Anolis sagrei: one gene and its partner. The protein of the gene in region 2 purifies or fractionates together with the protein of the main gene of each other region. This does not show direct contact. Links are inferred from orthologs where the notes say so. Each region holds a gene or a part of one and is shown on either strand. Other genes may lie near its edges.

What was found. Proteins that work in one complex are often made in the same cells at the same time.
Region 1: the proteins of DUSP9 (region 2) and PGRMC1 purify together in Homo sapiens (affinity purification with mass spectrometry; 3 studies listed by BioGRID). This does not show direct contact. The link is inferred for Anolis sagrei from reciprocal best matches to the Homo sapiens genes DUSP9 and PGRMC1.

Annotation. Positions count from the first base shown.
Region 1 is NC_090030.1:2,913,277-2,920,572, reverse strand, and holds the start of PGRMC1 (membrane-associated progesterone receptor component 1), read right to left. Parts: upstream 3,004-7,296; 5' UTR 2,766-3,003; coding exon 2,441-2,765; intron 1-2,440. UniProt on the Homo sapiens protein: Component of a progesterone-binding protein complex. Binds progesterone. Has many reported cellular functions (heme homeostasis, interaction with CYPs). Required for the maintenance of uterine histoarchitecture and normal female reproductive lifespan.
Region 2 is NC_090022.1:177,537,143-177,544,055, forward strand, and holds the start of DUSP9 (dual specificity protein phosphatase 9), read left to right. Parts: upstream 1-3,879; 5' UTR 3,880-4,186; intron 4,187-6,913. UniProt on the Homo sapiens protein: Inactivates MAP kinases. Has a specificity for the ERK family.

The sequences.
Region 1 (7,296 bases), on a different chromosome or scaffold from region 2:
TTTCCAGCCATATATATATATACTTGTCTAAGTAGATATATGTGGCTGGAAATGCCCCTGTTCCGACTTTCATACAAACCCAGCTTCAGGGCAAACCTATCTTGTTCGTAATTTGGAGAGGTTCCTGCCTACCAAATCCCAAGACAAGTATATATATGGCTGGAAATGCCCCACTTCGGACTTCCATACAAACCTAACTTCTGGGCAGACCTACAGGACTGATCTTGGTGGTGACTTGGAGATGGCCTGCCTACCAAATCCCAAGACAAGTTGGGTTTGTATGGAAGTCAGGACTGGGGCATTTCCAGCCATGTATATACTTGTCTAATGCCCCAGTTCCGACTTCCATACAAACCCAGCTTCAGGGCAAACCTACAGGACTAGTCTTGTTTGAATTTGGGGAGGGCCCTGCCTACCAAATCCCAAGAGAAGTATAGATATGGCTGGAAATGCCCCAGTTCCGACTTCCATACCCACCCAACTTCAGGGCAAAACCTTCAGGGCTGATCTTGGTGGTGACTTGGGGATGGCCCTGCCTACCAAACCCCAAGACCCGAGCTTGCCCATGGCACTCCCTCTGTCCTTGCCTGAAACCCATGTTTGCAAATGGATCTGTGCCGCACACACACACAGAGACAGTCCCCAAGTTACAAGTAGATATATGGTTGGAAATGCCCCAGTTCGGACTTCCATACAAACCCAGCTTCAAGGCAAACCTACAGGATTGGTCTTGTTCGTAACTCAGGGACAGCCCTGCCTACCAAATCCCAAGACCCAAGCTTGCCCATGACACTCCCTCTGTCCTTGCCTGAAACCCATGTTTGCAACTGGATCTGTGCAGGAAAGAAGGCGTAGGTCTCCTTTCCCAACCCAGGCCCCTCTTCCCACACACACACACAGATTACAAGTGTATACATGGCTGGAAATGCCCCTGTTCTGACTTTTATACAAACCCAGCTTCAGGGCAAACCTATCTTGTTCGTAATTTGGAGAGGGTCCTGCCTACCAAATCCCAAGAAAAGTATATATATGGCTGGAAATGCCCCGGTTCGGACTTCCATACAAACCTAACTTCTGGGCAGACCTACAGGACTGATCTTGTTCGTATCTTGGGGACAGCCCTGCCTACCAAATCCCAAGACAAGTATATATATGGCTGGATATGCCCCAGTTCGGACTTCCATACAAACCCAACTTTTGGGCAGACCTACAGGACTGATCTTGGTGGTGACTTGGGGATGGCCTGCCTACCAAATCCCTAGACAAGTTGGGTTTGTATGGAAGTAAGGACTGGGGCATTTCCAACCATGTATATACTTGTCTAATGCCCCAGTTCCGACTTCCATACAAACCCAGCTTCAGGGCAAACCTACAGGACTAGTCTTGTTTGAATTTGGGGAGGGCCCTGCCTATCAAATCCCAAGACAAGTATAGATATGGCTGGAAATGCCCCAGTTCCGACTTCCATACAAACCCAACTTCAGGGCATACCTACCTGACTGGTCTTGTTCGTATCTTGGCACTCCCTGTGTCCTTGCCTGAAACCCATGTTTCCAAATGGATGTGGGCAGGGAAGAAGGCGCAGATCCAATTCCCCAACCCAGGCCCATAGCCCCCCCCCCTCCGCCCCGGTTACAAGTGTATATATGGCTGGAAATGCCCCTGTTCCGACTTCCATACAAACCCAGCTTCAGGGCAAACCTACAGGACTAGTCTTGTTTGAATTTGGGGAGAGCCCTGGCTATCAAATCCCAAGACAAGTATAGATATGGCTGGAAATTTCCCAGTTCGGACTTCCATACCCACCCAACTTCAGGGCAAAACCTTCAGGGCTGATCTTGGTGGTGACTTGGGGATCCCTCTGTCCTTGCCTGAAACCCATGTTTGCAACTGGATCTGTGCCACAAACACACATACACACAGAGACAGTCCCCAAGTTACAAGTAGATATATGGTTGGAAATGCCCCAGTTCCGACTTCCATACAAGCCCAGCTTCAGGGCAAACCTACAGGACTGGTCTTGTGGGTGACCTGGGGAGGGCCCTGCCTACCAAACCCCAAAACCTGAGCCTGCACATGACCCTCCCTCTGTCCTTGCCTGAAACCCATGTTTGGAACTGGATCTGTGTCACAAACACACACACACACACACACACACAGAGAGAGACAGTCCCCAAGTTACAAGTAGATATATGGTTGGAAATGCCCCAGTTCCGACTTCCATACAAACCCAACTTCAGGGCAAACCTACAGGACTGGTCTTGTGGGTGACCTGGGGAGGGCCCAGCCTCCCAAACCCCAAGACCCGAGCCTGCCCATGGCACTCCCTCCGTCCTTGCCTGAAGCCCATGTTTGGAACGGGATGTGGGCAGGGGGGAAGGCGCAGGCCCCCTTCCCCAACCCAAGCCCCTCTCCCTCCTCTCCCTCCTCTCTTTCTCACCGGGCCCGTAGAACTTCCTCCCGCGGGAGACGTCGAAGACCTTCCCGTTGATGGCCATGAGGATGCGGGGGTTCTGGACGCCGTCGAAGGGGCGCAGCTCGGCCAGGGTGAAGTCCCGGCGGCGGAGCTTGGGCAGGGGCGGGGGCGCGTCCTCCTCGCCCTCGGGCTGGGCCCGGCCCCGGTCCCCGCGCAGGATCTGGTAGAGCAGGAAGAGGCACAGGCCCAGCAGGCTCAGGTTCAGCGGGGAGCTCACCAGCTCCAGCAGGAGACCCCCGCCCCCGCCCCCGCCGCTCTCCCCGCCTGCGCCTTCCTCCTCCTGCGCCATGGATGATGCTGCTGACCAAGCGGAGAGAGAACCCGGGGAAAGAAGGAAGGAAAGGTTCGCCAAGCCAGGAAAAGGGGGAGGAAGAGCAGGAGGACAAGGAGGAGGAGCTGCGAGGGGTCGCAATCGGAATCTACGCCCCCCAAGGCCGAAGAGGAGCTGCCCACAAGGAGGCGCGCCGTGCGTCAAGCTGGGCACAGTTTTGCAAACGAGCTCTCCCTCTCCAACGCCGCTCTTTCCGGGGAAGGGAAGGCTCTCCAAGCCAGGAAGAGGAGGAGGAAGAGAGGAGGAAGAGGAGGAGGAACGGGGAGGGATAGCAATCGGGATCTACGCCCCCCAAGGCCGAAGAGGAGGGGCCCACAAGGAGGCGAGCCGTGCGTCAAGCTTGGTGCGTAAAGCTTGGCCGGCTGTTAGCCAAAGAGCTGTCCCTCCCTCCTCAACGCCGCTCTCTCCAGAGAAGACAAAGCTCTCCAAGCCAAGAAGAGGAGGAGGAAGAAGAGAGGAGGAAGAGGAGGAGGAACTGGGAGGGATAGCAATCGGGATCTACGCCTCCAAGCCCGAAGAGGGGGGGCCCAAAAAGGAGGCGCGCCGTGCGTAAAGCTTGGCACACTTTTGGAAAAGAGGTGTCCCTCTCCAACGCAGCTCTTTCTGGGGAAGGGAAGGGTCTCCAAGCCAGGAAGAGAGGAGGAAGAGTGTAGGAAGAGGAGGAACTGGGAGGAATAGCAATCGGGATCAAGGCTTCCAAGCCCAAAGAGGAGGTGCCCAAAAAGGAGGCGCGCCGTGCGTAAAGTTTGGCACGCTTTTTGCAAAAGCTGCTCCTCTTCAAGGCTGCTCTTTCCGGGGAAGGGAAGGGTCTCCAAGCCAGGAAGAGGAGGAGGAAGAGAGGAGGAACTGGAGGAAGGGGGGGGGGGGGTAGCAGTCGGGATCAACGTCCCCACAAAGCCAAAGAAGAGGTGCCCAAAAGGAGGCGCGCCGTGCGTAAAGCTTGGCACGCTTTTTGCAAAAGAGCTCTCCTTTTTTGAACGTCGCTCTCTCCAGGAAAAGGAAGGCTCTCCAAGCCAGGAAGAGGAGGAGGAAGAGAGGAGGAAGAGGAAAAGGAACTGGGAGGGGTAACAATCGGGATCTGCGCCCCCAAGCCCAAAGAGGGGGTGCCCAAAAAGGAGGCGCGCCGTGCGTAAAGCTTGGCACACTTTTGGAAAAGAGGTGTCCCTCTCCAACGCAGCTCTTTCCGGGGAAAGGGAAGGGTCTCCAAGCCAGGAAGAGGAGGAGGAAGAGTGTAGGAAGAGGAGGAACTGGGAGGGATAGCAGTCGGGATCAAGGCTTCCTAGCCCAAAGAGGAGGTGCCCAAAAAGGAGGCGCGCCGTGCGTCGAGCTTGGCATGCGTTTTGCAAAAGAACTCTCCCTCTCCAAGGAAAAGAAAGGTCTCTAAACCAGGAAGAGAGGAGGAAGGGGAGGAACTGGGTGGGGTAGTAATCGGGATCAACGCCCCCAAGCCCGAAGAAGGGGTGCCCAAAAAGGAGGCGCGCCGTGCGTAAAGCTTGGCACACTTTTGCAAAAGAACTCTCCCTCTCCAACGCAGCTCTTTCTGGGGAAGGGAAGGCTCTCCAAGCCAGGAAGAAGAGGAGGAGCGGGGGGTGGGGATACTATTCTGGGTCTGCGCCTCCAAGCCCGAAGAAGGGGTACCCAAAAAGGAGGCTTGGCAGGCTGTGTGCAAACGAGGTGCCCCTCCTCAAGGCCGCTCTCTCCAGAGGAGACCAAGCTCTCCAAGCCAGGAAGAAGAAAAGGAACTGGGAGGGATACTAATGTATTGACGTTATATTGATGTATTGATGTGCTCTTATATTGATGTAGTTGCCTTAGTTGCTGTTTTTAAATGCTAGTGTTGTGCACTTTGTATATTGACCTGGTTGTAAACCACACTGAGTCGCCTACCGGCTGAGAGAGTGCAATATACAATTAAAGTAAATAAAGTAAATAAATAAATACTAACTGGGATCAAGGCCTCCAAGCCCAAAGAGGAGGTGCCCGACATTCCCAAATCACACTGCATGGCAGAAGAGGGTGGCCCTTGTTTGTTTGTTTTTTACAGTATTTATATATTCCTCCCTTCTCACCCTGCAGAGGACTCAGGGCAGATCACAATGCACATCTACATGGCAAACATTCTGTGCCCTTGCGCTTGGGGGCTATTATTCTTAATGAAGGAGGGATGGACGCCGCACCTTTCCCCCAAGGGATTGCTTCTTGCCCTCCTTTAGGAAACTGGAACTCCCAAAAACCCAAAACACTGTAAATAGCTCAAGATAAGTTTTATTGATCACAAAGTCATTTCTTCAAAGCAATGAGCTGGAAAACTTTAGAGGGGTGAAGGAAAACATACATTACAGTCTCAATTAGTCCTGGGTCCAAGGGGTTTGAAGCTGAGAAGCCTCACTCAGTTTCCTCCTTCCTCAGTGGCTGTGAATGCGGGAGCAAACCACAACCCCAGTTCAGATGGCCTATGTTTTGAAGATTCAGGATCTTCCTTTGGTGCCAAAAGAACTGGCTTGAAGGCGCTTGGGATCTCCTCAATGTTATCCAGGATGATCTGGACATAAAGCATGAGTCCCAGGGGTAAAAACCTCAGAACTGGTGCTAAGAGGTAACTTAAATCAGGGTCCTTTGGAGTCAGGTCTCTTACTCACGTCCATCTGGTACAAACTCTAATGGCAGAATGAAGAAGAAAAAGGAAGCTCTCCCCTCTTGCAGGAAGAGGTGGAGCCAAACAGTACTGATTGACAGCTACAAGCAACCAATCCATACAACTATACATAAGCAGGGTAAAAAAGGGGCAGGATTAAGCATGATACAACAGTTTAAATCTTACAACTAACAGTTCTATACATAGGTGGCGCCACTCGCACCGTCACACATTCAATGCCATAGACACGCAACATATATATAGACAGACACACAGAGGCTATTTAACTTTCCAGCTTCATGAGGGTATGTTTCGAATTCCGGCCGCCGGAGGAGCTATCGCTTCACCATCCACTTGTGGCACTGATTGAGTACTTCCTCATTCTTTTGCACACTGCTGGAGAGTTTTATGGCATTGTAAATTAGTTAAATTAGCCTCTCTGCCTAAGCGGTACCTAAATTTCCTACATGACAGATGCAACTGTCTTTCGGGTAGCAAAGGTCGACAGCAAGCTAGACAAATGGTCGGGAGCTTACTCTGGCCTGGGCTGGCTTTGAAGTCATGAGTAGTGATTTTAATGCAGTTGACTTCCCAACCAGCTGTGCCACAACCTGGTCCTTGTTGCTTCCAGCTCTGACATTTGATGATCCCACGTCTGAATTGAGACATGAAACTCAGACATCAAAGTGTGGAAAGGCGGAAAATGTATAGGATCCAGGCTTTAGGTTTCCCAAGGGACTGAAAGGATGATGCTATTGCGACAACATCGCTCCAGGCACAGCCAGGCCCTCCTTTCCCTTCTTCCTGAGAAAGGGAATGAAGGAGCTCACAAGCTCCGTCCTGCTTTCTCTGGCTTTGAACCCAACTGTGCCCATTATCATTTGCCACCCACTCCTGTTTTCCTCGTTACTTCACAAACCGGTTTAATGGTTGAACAACTCCAGAGGTTGGACAACAACTCCCAGAATTCTCTACATTTCTGAGAATTCTAGGCCCCAGAAGGAACTTTCTCCAACTCTGGCCTTATTCACTACTAAAATGGAAAGTTATTATTCATAGTGTTTACTCTGGTAAAGATGTATAGCACAATGTTTCTCAACCTGGGGGTCGGGACCCCTAAGGGGGGTCGCAAAGGGGGTTTCAGAGGGGTTGTCAAATACCATCAGAAAACACATATTTCTGATGGTCTCAGGAACATTTTTGGCAGAGGAGGCTGAAGATCTCTCTGCCCGTCCTCTTCCTTTTTGGTGTTGGTGAACTACAACTCCCAGAATTCAAAAACAGCCCCCCTCCCCAACTCCACCAGTATTCAATGTTGGCCATGTAGGTAGCGTGCCAAGTTTGGTGCAGATCCATTGTGGGCTGGGTTCAGAATGCTTTTTGATTGTAGGTGAACTATAAATCCCAGCAACTACAACTCCCAAATGCCAAAGTCTAGTTTCCCCAAACTCCACCAGTGTTCACATTTGAGCATATTGAGTATTTGTGCCAAGTTTGGTCCAGATCTCTCTGGATGTAGGTGAACTACAACTCCAAAACTCAAGGTCAATGCCCACCAAACCCTTCCAGTATTTTCTCTTGGTCATGGAAGTTCAGTGTGCCAAGTTTGGTTGAATTCTATCTTTGGTGGAATTCAGAATGCTCTTTGATTATAGGTGAACTATAGGTGAACTATAAATCCCAGCAACTACAACTCCCAAATGTCAGGGTCTTTTCCCCCAGACTCCACTGGTGTTCACATTTGGGCATATTGAGTATATGTGACAACTTTGGTCCAGATCCATCCTTGTTTGAGGACACAGTGCTCTCTGGATGGAGGTGAACTACAATTCGCAAACTCAAGGTCAATGCCTG
Region 2 (6,913 bases):
AACCCAGAATATCAAGGCAGAAAATCCAAAACATCAGCTTTGAACTGGGTTATCTGAGTCCATACTGCCATATATTGCAGTTCAAAGCAGATAATGTGGGGTTTATTCAGCTATGTGGAAGGGGCCCCAGTGGGGAGAAAAAATTTTCTCTGGGCTTATATTCTTCTCTTATTTTTTATTTTTTATTTAAATAGACATACATGTGTGTTTCTTGCGTACAGTGCAATGCTTTCCAGTTATTAGTATTCCAAAATCATTTCTCAGATGATATATTTTCTTTAAGGGGTCATAGTCTTCTATTTAAATAGTACATATGAATATCATAGGCTTTCATTTAATATCTGCTTCCTCCTTGTCTACAGTCTTATATACATTTTTCGTTTGATTTTACATTAAGATGTTGAAGCATTGGTTGCCAATCATTAACATTGTTTTCTAATAGTTCTCTTCTTAATGGTACAGTTATTTTATCCATTACTTCTTACTTAGGTGATCCCTCATTGTCCGAGTAGGATAATCTTCCAAGGTGGGTCTGTAGGTGACTGTGGAGCCCTATTCTTGATCTGCAAAATCTCCCGCAGTGAGGGCATTGGTTTCCAGGTGGAAGGCAGTCCCAATTGGGGTTGGCTTGATGCGCCTTCCTCTTGGCACGTTTCTCTCTTTCGCCCTCCATTCGTGCCTCTTCAAATTCTGCAGCACTGCTGGTCACATCTGACCTCCAGCTGGAGTGCTCCCAGGCCAGGGCTTCCCAGTTCTCAGTGTCTATGCCAGAGTTTTTAAGGTTGGCTTTGAGCCCATCTTTAAATCTCTTTTCCTGCCCACCAACTTTCCATTTTCCGTTCTTGAGTTTGGAGTAGAGCAACTGCTTTGGGAGACGGTGGTCAGGCATCCGGACAACGTGGCCAGTCCAGCAGAATTGATGGAGGACCATTGCTTCAGTGCTGGTGGTCTTTGCTTCTTCCAGCATGCTGACATTTGTCCGCTTGTCTTCCCAAGAGATTTCCAGGATTTTTTGGAGGTAGCACTGATGGAATCATTCCAGAAGTTGCGTGTGACATCTGTAGACAGTCCATGTTTCGCAGGCATATAGCAGGGTTGGGAGTACAATAGCTTTATAAACAATCACCTTGATATCCCTATGGATGTCCCCGTCCTCAAACACTCTCTGCTTCATTCGGAAAAATGCTGCACTCGCAGAGCTCAGGCACTGTTGTATTTCGGTGTCAATGTTGACTTTGGTGGAGAGGTGGCTGCCAAGGGTTTATCCATTATCAGCAAATCTGTAATGTATTTTTCCCATTCTTCTAAGGGAGGTATCTCTGAGGTTTTCCTGTATCTGGCCTATACTATTCGAGCTGCGACTGTCATGTAGAACAATTTTTCCCCTAAATGTTCTTTCTAGTTCTCCATCAAGCATGTTCAAAAGGTACATTTGTGGTGTCATTTTGGAATTTGTGTTTAACATCTTTTCGAGATATGCACAAATCTGTTTTCAATAGTTGTTTACTTTGTTACATGTCCACCACGTGTGGTAAAATGGGCCTCTTTCTTTCTCATATTTCCAACATTTGTCAGTGCAATTATACATCTTGCCTAGTCTCTTTGGAGGGAGATACCATCATAGGTGCATTCTTCTCTTTTTAAATGAGCTAAAGTGGGTGATGAATCTATTTTGGTAGTCAAGGTTCAGCACCCTGGAAAGCTCCCTAATAGAGTGTGCCTACACCAGGCATGGACAAACTTTAGACCTCTAGGTCAGGGGTTCTCAACCTTCCTCATGCTGTGACCCCTTAATACAATTCCTCATGTTGTGGTGGCACCCCAACCATAAAATTATTTTCCTTCCTACTTCATAACTGTCATTTTGCTACTGTTATCAATTGTAATGTAAATATCTGATCGACAGGATGTATTTTCATTCACTAGACCAAATTTGGCACAAATACCCAATATGCCCAAATGTGAACACTGGTGGAGTTTGGGGAAAATAGTCCTTGACATTTTGGGAGTTGTAGTTCACCTACAATCAAAGAGCATTCTGAACCCCACCAACGAGAGAACTGGGCCAAACTTCCCACATAGAACCCCCATGACCAACAGAAAATACTGTGTTTTCTGGTGATCTTAAGTGACCCCTCTGACATTCCCTCATGACCCCTCCAGGGGTCCCGACATATAATCCAGTTCAAAGCAGATAATGCGGATTATCTGCTTAGAAGATCTGGATTATATGGCAGTGTAGAAGGGGCCTAAGGCTGGATTTACACAGCCATACAAGATCCAGATTATCTGCATTGAACTGGATTATCTGGCAGTATAGACTCATATAATCCAGTTCTAAGCAGATAATGGTTAGATGATCTGGATTATATGGCAGTGTAGAAGGGGCCTGATTGATATGGTCGGTTTTCCAAGGTGTCCTTGTTGTTCATTCGTTCAGTCGTCTCCGACTCTTCGTGACCTCATGGACCAGCCCACGCCAGAGCTCCCTGTCGGCCGTCACCACCCCCAGCTCCTTCAAGGTCAGTCCAGTCACTTCAAGGATGCCATCCATCCATCTTGTCCTTGGTCGGCCCCTCTTCCTTTTGCCTTCCACTTTCCCTAGCATCATTGTCTTCTCCAGGCTTTGCTGTCTCCTCATGATGTGGTCAAAGTACTTCAACTTTGTCTCTAGTATCCTTCCCTCCAGTGAGCAGCCGGGCTTTATTTCCTGAAGTGTGGACTGGTTGGATCTTCTCGCAGTCCAAGGCACTCTCAGGACTTTCCTCCAACAGCACAGCTCAAAAGCATCTATCTTCCTTCGCTCAGCCTTCCCTAAGGTCCAGCTCTCACATCCCTAGGTGACTACAGGGAATACCATGGCTTTGACGAGGCGGATCTTTGTTGCAAGTCTGATGTCTCTACTCTTTACTATTTTATCGAGACTGGACATTGCTCTCCTCCCAAGAAGTAAGCGTCTTCTGATTTCCTGGCCACAGTCTGCATCTGCAGTAATCTTTGTGCCTAGAAATACAAAGTCTGTCACGGCCTCCACGTTTTCTCCCTCTATTTCCCAGTTGTCAATCATTCTTGTTGCCATAATCTTGGTTATTTTGATGTTTAGCTGCAACCCGGCTTTTGCGCTTTCTTCTTTCACCTTGATTAGAAGGTTCCTCAGCTCCTCCTCGCTTTCGGCCATCAGAGTGGTGTCATCTGCATATCTGAGGTTGTTAATGTTTCTTCCAGCAATTTTCACCCCAGCTTTGCATTCCTCAAGCCCCACACACCTCATGATGTGTTCTGCATACAAGTTAAAAAGGTTGGGTGAGAGGATGCAGCCTTGCCGTACGCCTTTCCCAATCTTGAACCAGTCTGTTGTTCCGTGGTCAGTTCTGACTGTTGCTACTTGGTCCTTGTACAGATTCCTCAGGAGAGAGACAAGGTGGCTTGGTATGCCCATCCCACCAAGAACTTGTCACAATTTATTATGATCCACACAGTCAAAGGCTGTGTCAGTGTAGAAGGGGCCTAAGGCTGGATTTACACAGCCATACAAGATTCAGATTATCTGCATTGAACTGGATTATCTGGCAGTATAGACTCATATAATCCAGTTCTAAGCAGATAATGGTTAGATGATCTGGATTATATGGGAGTGTAGAAGGGGCCTGATTGATATGTTCGGTTTTCCAAGGTGTCCTTAGCCACTTGAGAATATGGAGGACCAACTGTGGAACCAGCACGACTCTTTTCCTTCCCGCGCAGGCGCACTAGCCCTGCCGTAGCCTTCGCCCCGCCTTCTGCCGAGCAGACACCGGGGGGCCAATCAGGAGGCCGGTGGGCGTGGCCTCCCCGGGGCTGTACACAGCCACCACGTGGAGCATGCCAGTGGCCCCCGAGACAGCGGCGGAGGCGGACGTGTTGGCGGAGCCAGAGCGCGGGAAACGCCGCTGCAGGGAGCCATGCCGCCTCTTCTCCCTTCCCGTGGGGATCCTAAGTGAAATAACACCCAAACACCCCACTTCACGTTGCCTTCATTGCAAGGCCAAGCCGGTGCTGTTGTTGCGGCTGCAGGAAGGGCGCGCTGCCTCTCTCTCCTCCCTTCCTCCCTCCGGCTGGCCTTTCCCCGAAGCCCTGCTGCAGAGGACTGCGGATCGGAGCCGGGATGGAAGCATGGCACCGGAACCGGCGTCGCCAAAGCGGCAGGGTAAGAGAGCAGCCCCTCATCCGGGGATCCTCCTCTTGCGGGGCTTCCTGAGCGCCTCCCCCCCCCCCCCCCCCCAGTGCTTTGCCTCTTCTGTGTTTGGGACTTCAATTCCCAGTAACCTGAAGGTTGGAAAGGCCTGTGTATAAGGAATCTGTGGAGGAGATAGTTGTAGTATTCCCTGCTTCAGAGATGGATGATCATAATGCATGGCATTCCTTTGGCTCTCTTTACAGACTGAGAAAATGCAGGCAATAGCAAGGCCTATTGAAATGAATGGCTCCTGGCCTGAGAATGCCATAGAGATATGCTGAAGGCCTAAAGAAGGACATGGTTTGTCTGATGTGGGCACTGTATGATACTGGCCCACAACATAAGCCCCTTCTACACTGCCATATAATCCAGATTATTATTATTATTTTGTCGTTGAGAAACTGCAAGTCGCTTCTGGTGTGAGAGAATTGGCCATCTGCAAGTACGTTGCCCAGGGGATGCCTGGATGATTTGATGTTTTTACTATCCTTCTGGGAGGCTTCTCTCATGTCCCGCATGAGGAGCTGGAGCTCATAGAGATGAGCAAGGCAGATCGATTTATTTTTTTTTGTCGTTGAGAAACTGCAAGTCGCTTCTGCTGTGAGAGAATTGGCCACCTGCAAGGACGTTGCCCTGAATGTTTTGATGTTTTTACCATCCTTGTGGGAGGCTTCTCTCATGTCCCCACATGGGGAGCTGGAGCTGACAGAGGGAGCTCAGATGAGCAAAGCAGATCGATTTATTTTTTTGTCGTTGAGAAACTGCAAGTCGCTTCTGGAACAGGATTATATGAGTCTACACTGCCTGATAATCCAGTTCAAAGCAAATAATCTGGATTTTGTATGGCAGTGTAGAAAGGGCCTTAGGGAGGAGCAATCCCTTTGCAAGGTAAGCATCCCAAGGCTGCCATCTTGGTCTGTTTCAGAATAAAAACACCTAAGGCAGCCCTGTAGTGTCTTGGAAACTGACCGAGAGAAAGCCATTTTTAGCATCAGCTTTATTGAACTTCATTGCTGGCTCTGATGAAACGGATTAAACATTTCTTTGCGCCAGTTACTCTCCAAGTATTTCCTTGCAAGGATAGTCAGTCTTTGTGCCTTTCTGCCACATGAGCAATCTCTGGCCTCCCAGAGGTCTGTGCTAAGTAAAGGTTTTCCCCTGACATTAAGTCCAGTTGTTTCCAACTCTGGGGAGTTGGAAATGACTGGAGGGGTTGGTGCTCAACTCCATTTCTAAGCCGAAGAGCCGGCGTTGTCCATAGACACCTCCAAGGTCATGTGGCCAGCATGACTGCATGCAGCATCGTTACCTTCCCGCTGGAGCGGTACCTATTGATCTCCTCACATTTGCATGTTTTCGAACTGCTAGGTTGGCAGAAGCTGGGCTAACAGCAGGAGCCCACCCCCGCTCCCGGATTCAAACCTGCGACCTTTCGCTCAGCGCTTTGACCCACTGTGCCACTGGGGGCTCCCAGTGATAGATAGATAGATAGATAGATAGATAGATAGATAGATATGTCAACACATTGCACTGCACAACTGCTTTGAGTCCCCCCAGGGGAGAGAAGGGGGGTATATAAATACTGTAAATAAATAAATAATACATAAACAATGCAATGTATTGACATATGTATATAGTGGCCCTTAAGACACCTCTGTTGCTGTACATTGAAGGAACCTTTGGCCTTTTGTGTTTTCTGTCTCTTTAAGCCTTGACAGTGATCTGGGGCCTTCAAGACATAAGCCCTGTTTACCTTTCCATCCATCATGAAACACCAGGCGGATCACGCATCTCTAAGCCCATGGTACCAAAATCCATAGCTGCTCAAGTTATGTAGTATACAACGCTAGTCAAATGGTGTCCCTTATGTAATATGGCAACATCACAGCTTGCTTTTAGGGGGATTTATTTGGAATCTTTTCAAGTCATGCTTGGTTGACTCCAACCAACAATAGAGGGATCTAGTCCCCGATTCACTGTCAAGAGGGAAGTGGAATTAAAGGGAACGAATGTTGGGCAGTCCCTGGTAGCGCAGCGGGTTAAACTGCTTAGCTGCTGAACTGGCTGACTGGAAGGTCAGTGGTTTGAATCTAGGGAGCGGGGTAAGCTCCTGTTGTTAGTCCCAGCTTCTGCCAACCTAGCAGTTCGAAAGCATGCAAATGTGAGTAGATCAATAGGTACCGTTTCAGCGGGAAGGTAACTGCACTCCATGCAGTCATACCGGCGACATGACCTTGGAGGCGTCTATGGACAACGCCGGCTCTTTGGCTTAGAAATGAAGATGAGCACCACCGCACAGAGTGGGACACCACTAGACCTAATGTCAGGGGAAAACCTTTACCTTTACTTCAGCATTGGGCAGAGTTAAAGTGTTGAGATACAACTGGACAGATACACGGTGTTATGAAGCCCATAAGGTGACCTTGGGCCAGTCGCTGTCGGTCAGCCTGTTTACTCAGAGAAAGCCCTTGTCTCATGTCTCAGAGAACCACAAATCAAAAATAAATATGCCCACAGCTCCAAAATCCCTTGCTGTGCCCATATCCCCAACCTATATTCTAATTCTGATGTAGGGGGAAAGGAGGTGAATCGGGAGAGGGGTGGCTTTGAATATGATAGATGCATATAATAAACATGCAGTTCCAGTTTGCTACAAGTGACTTGGCCTTGTGTGCCCCCTATTGATAGAGCCAGGGA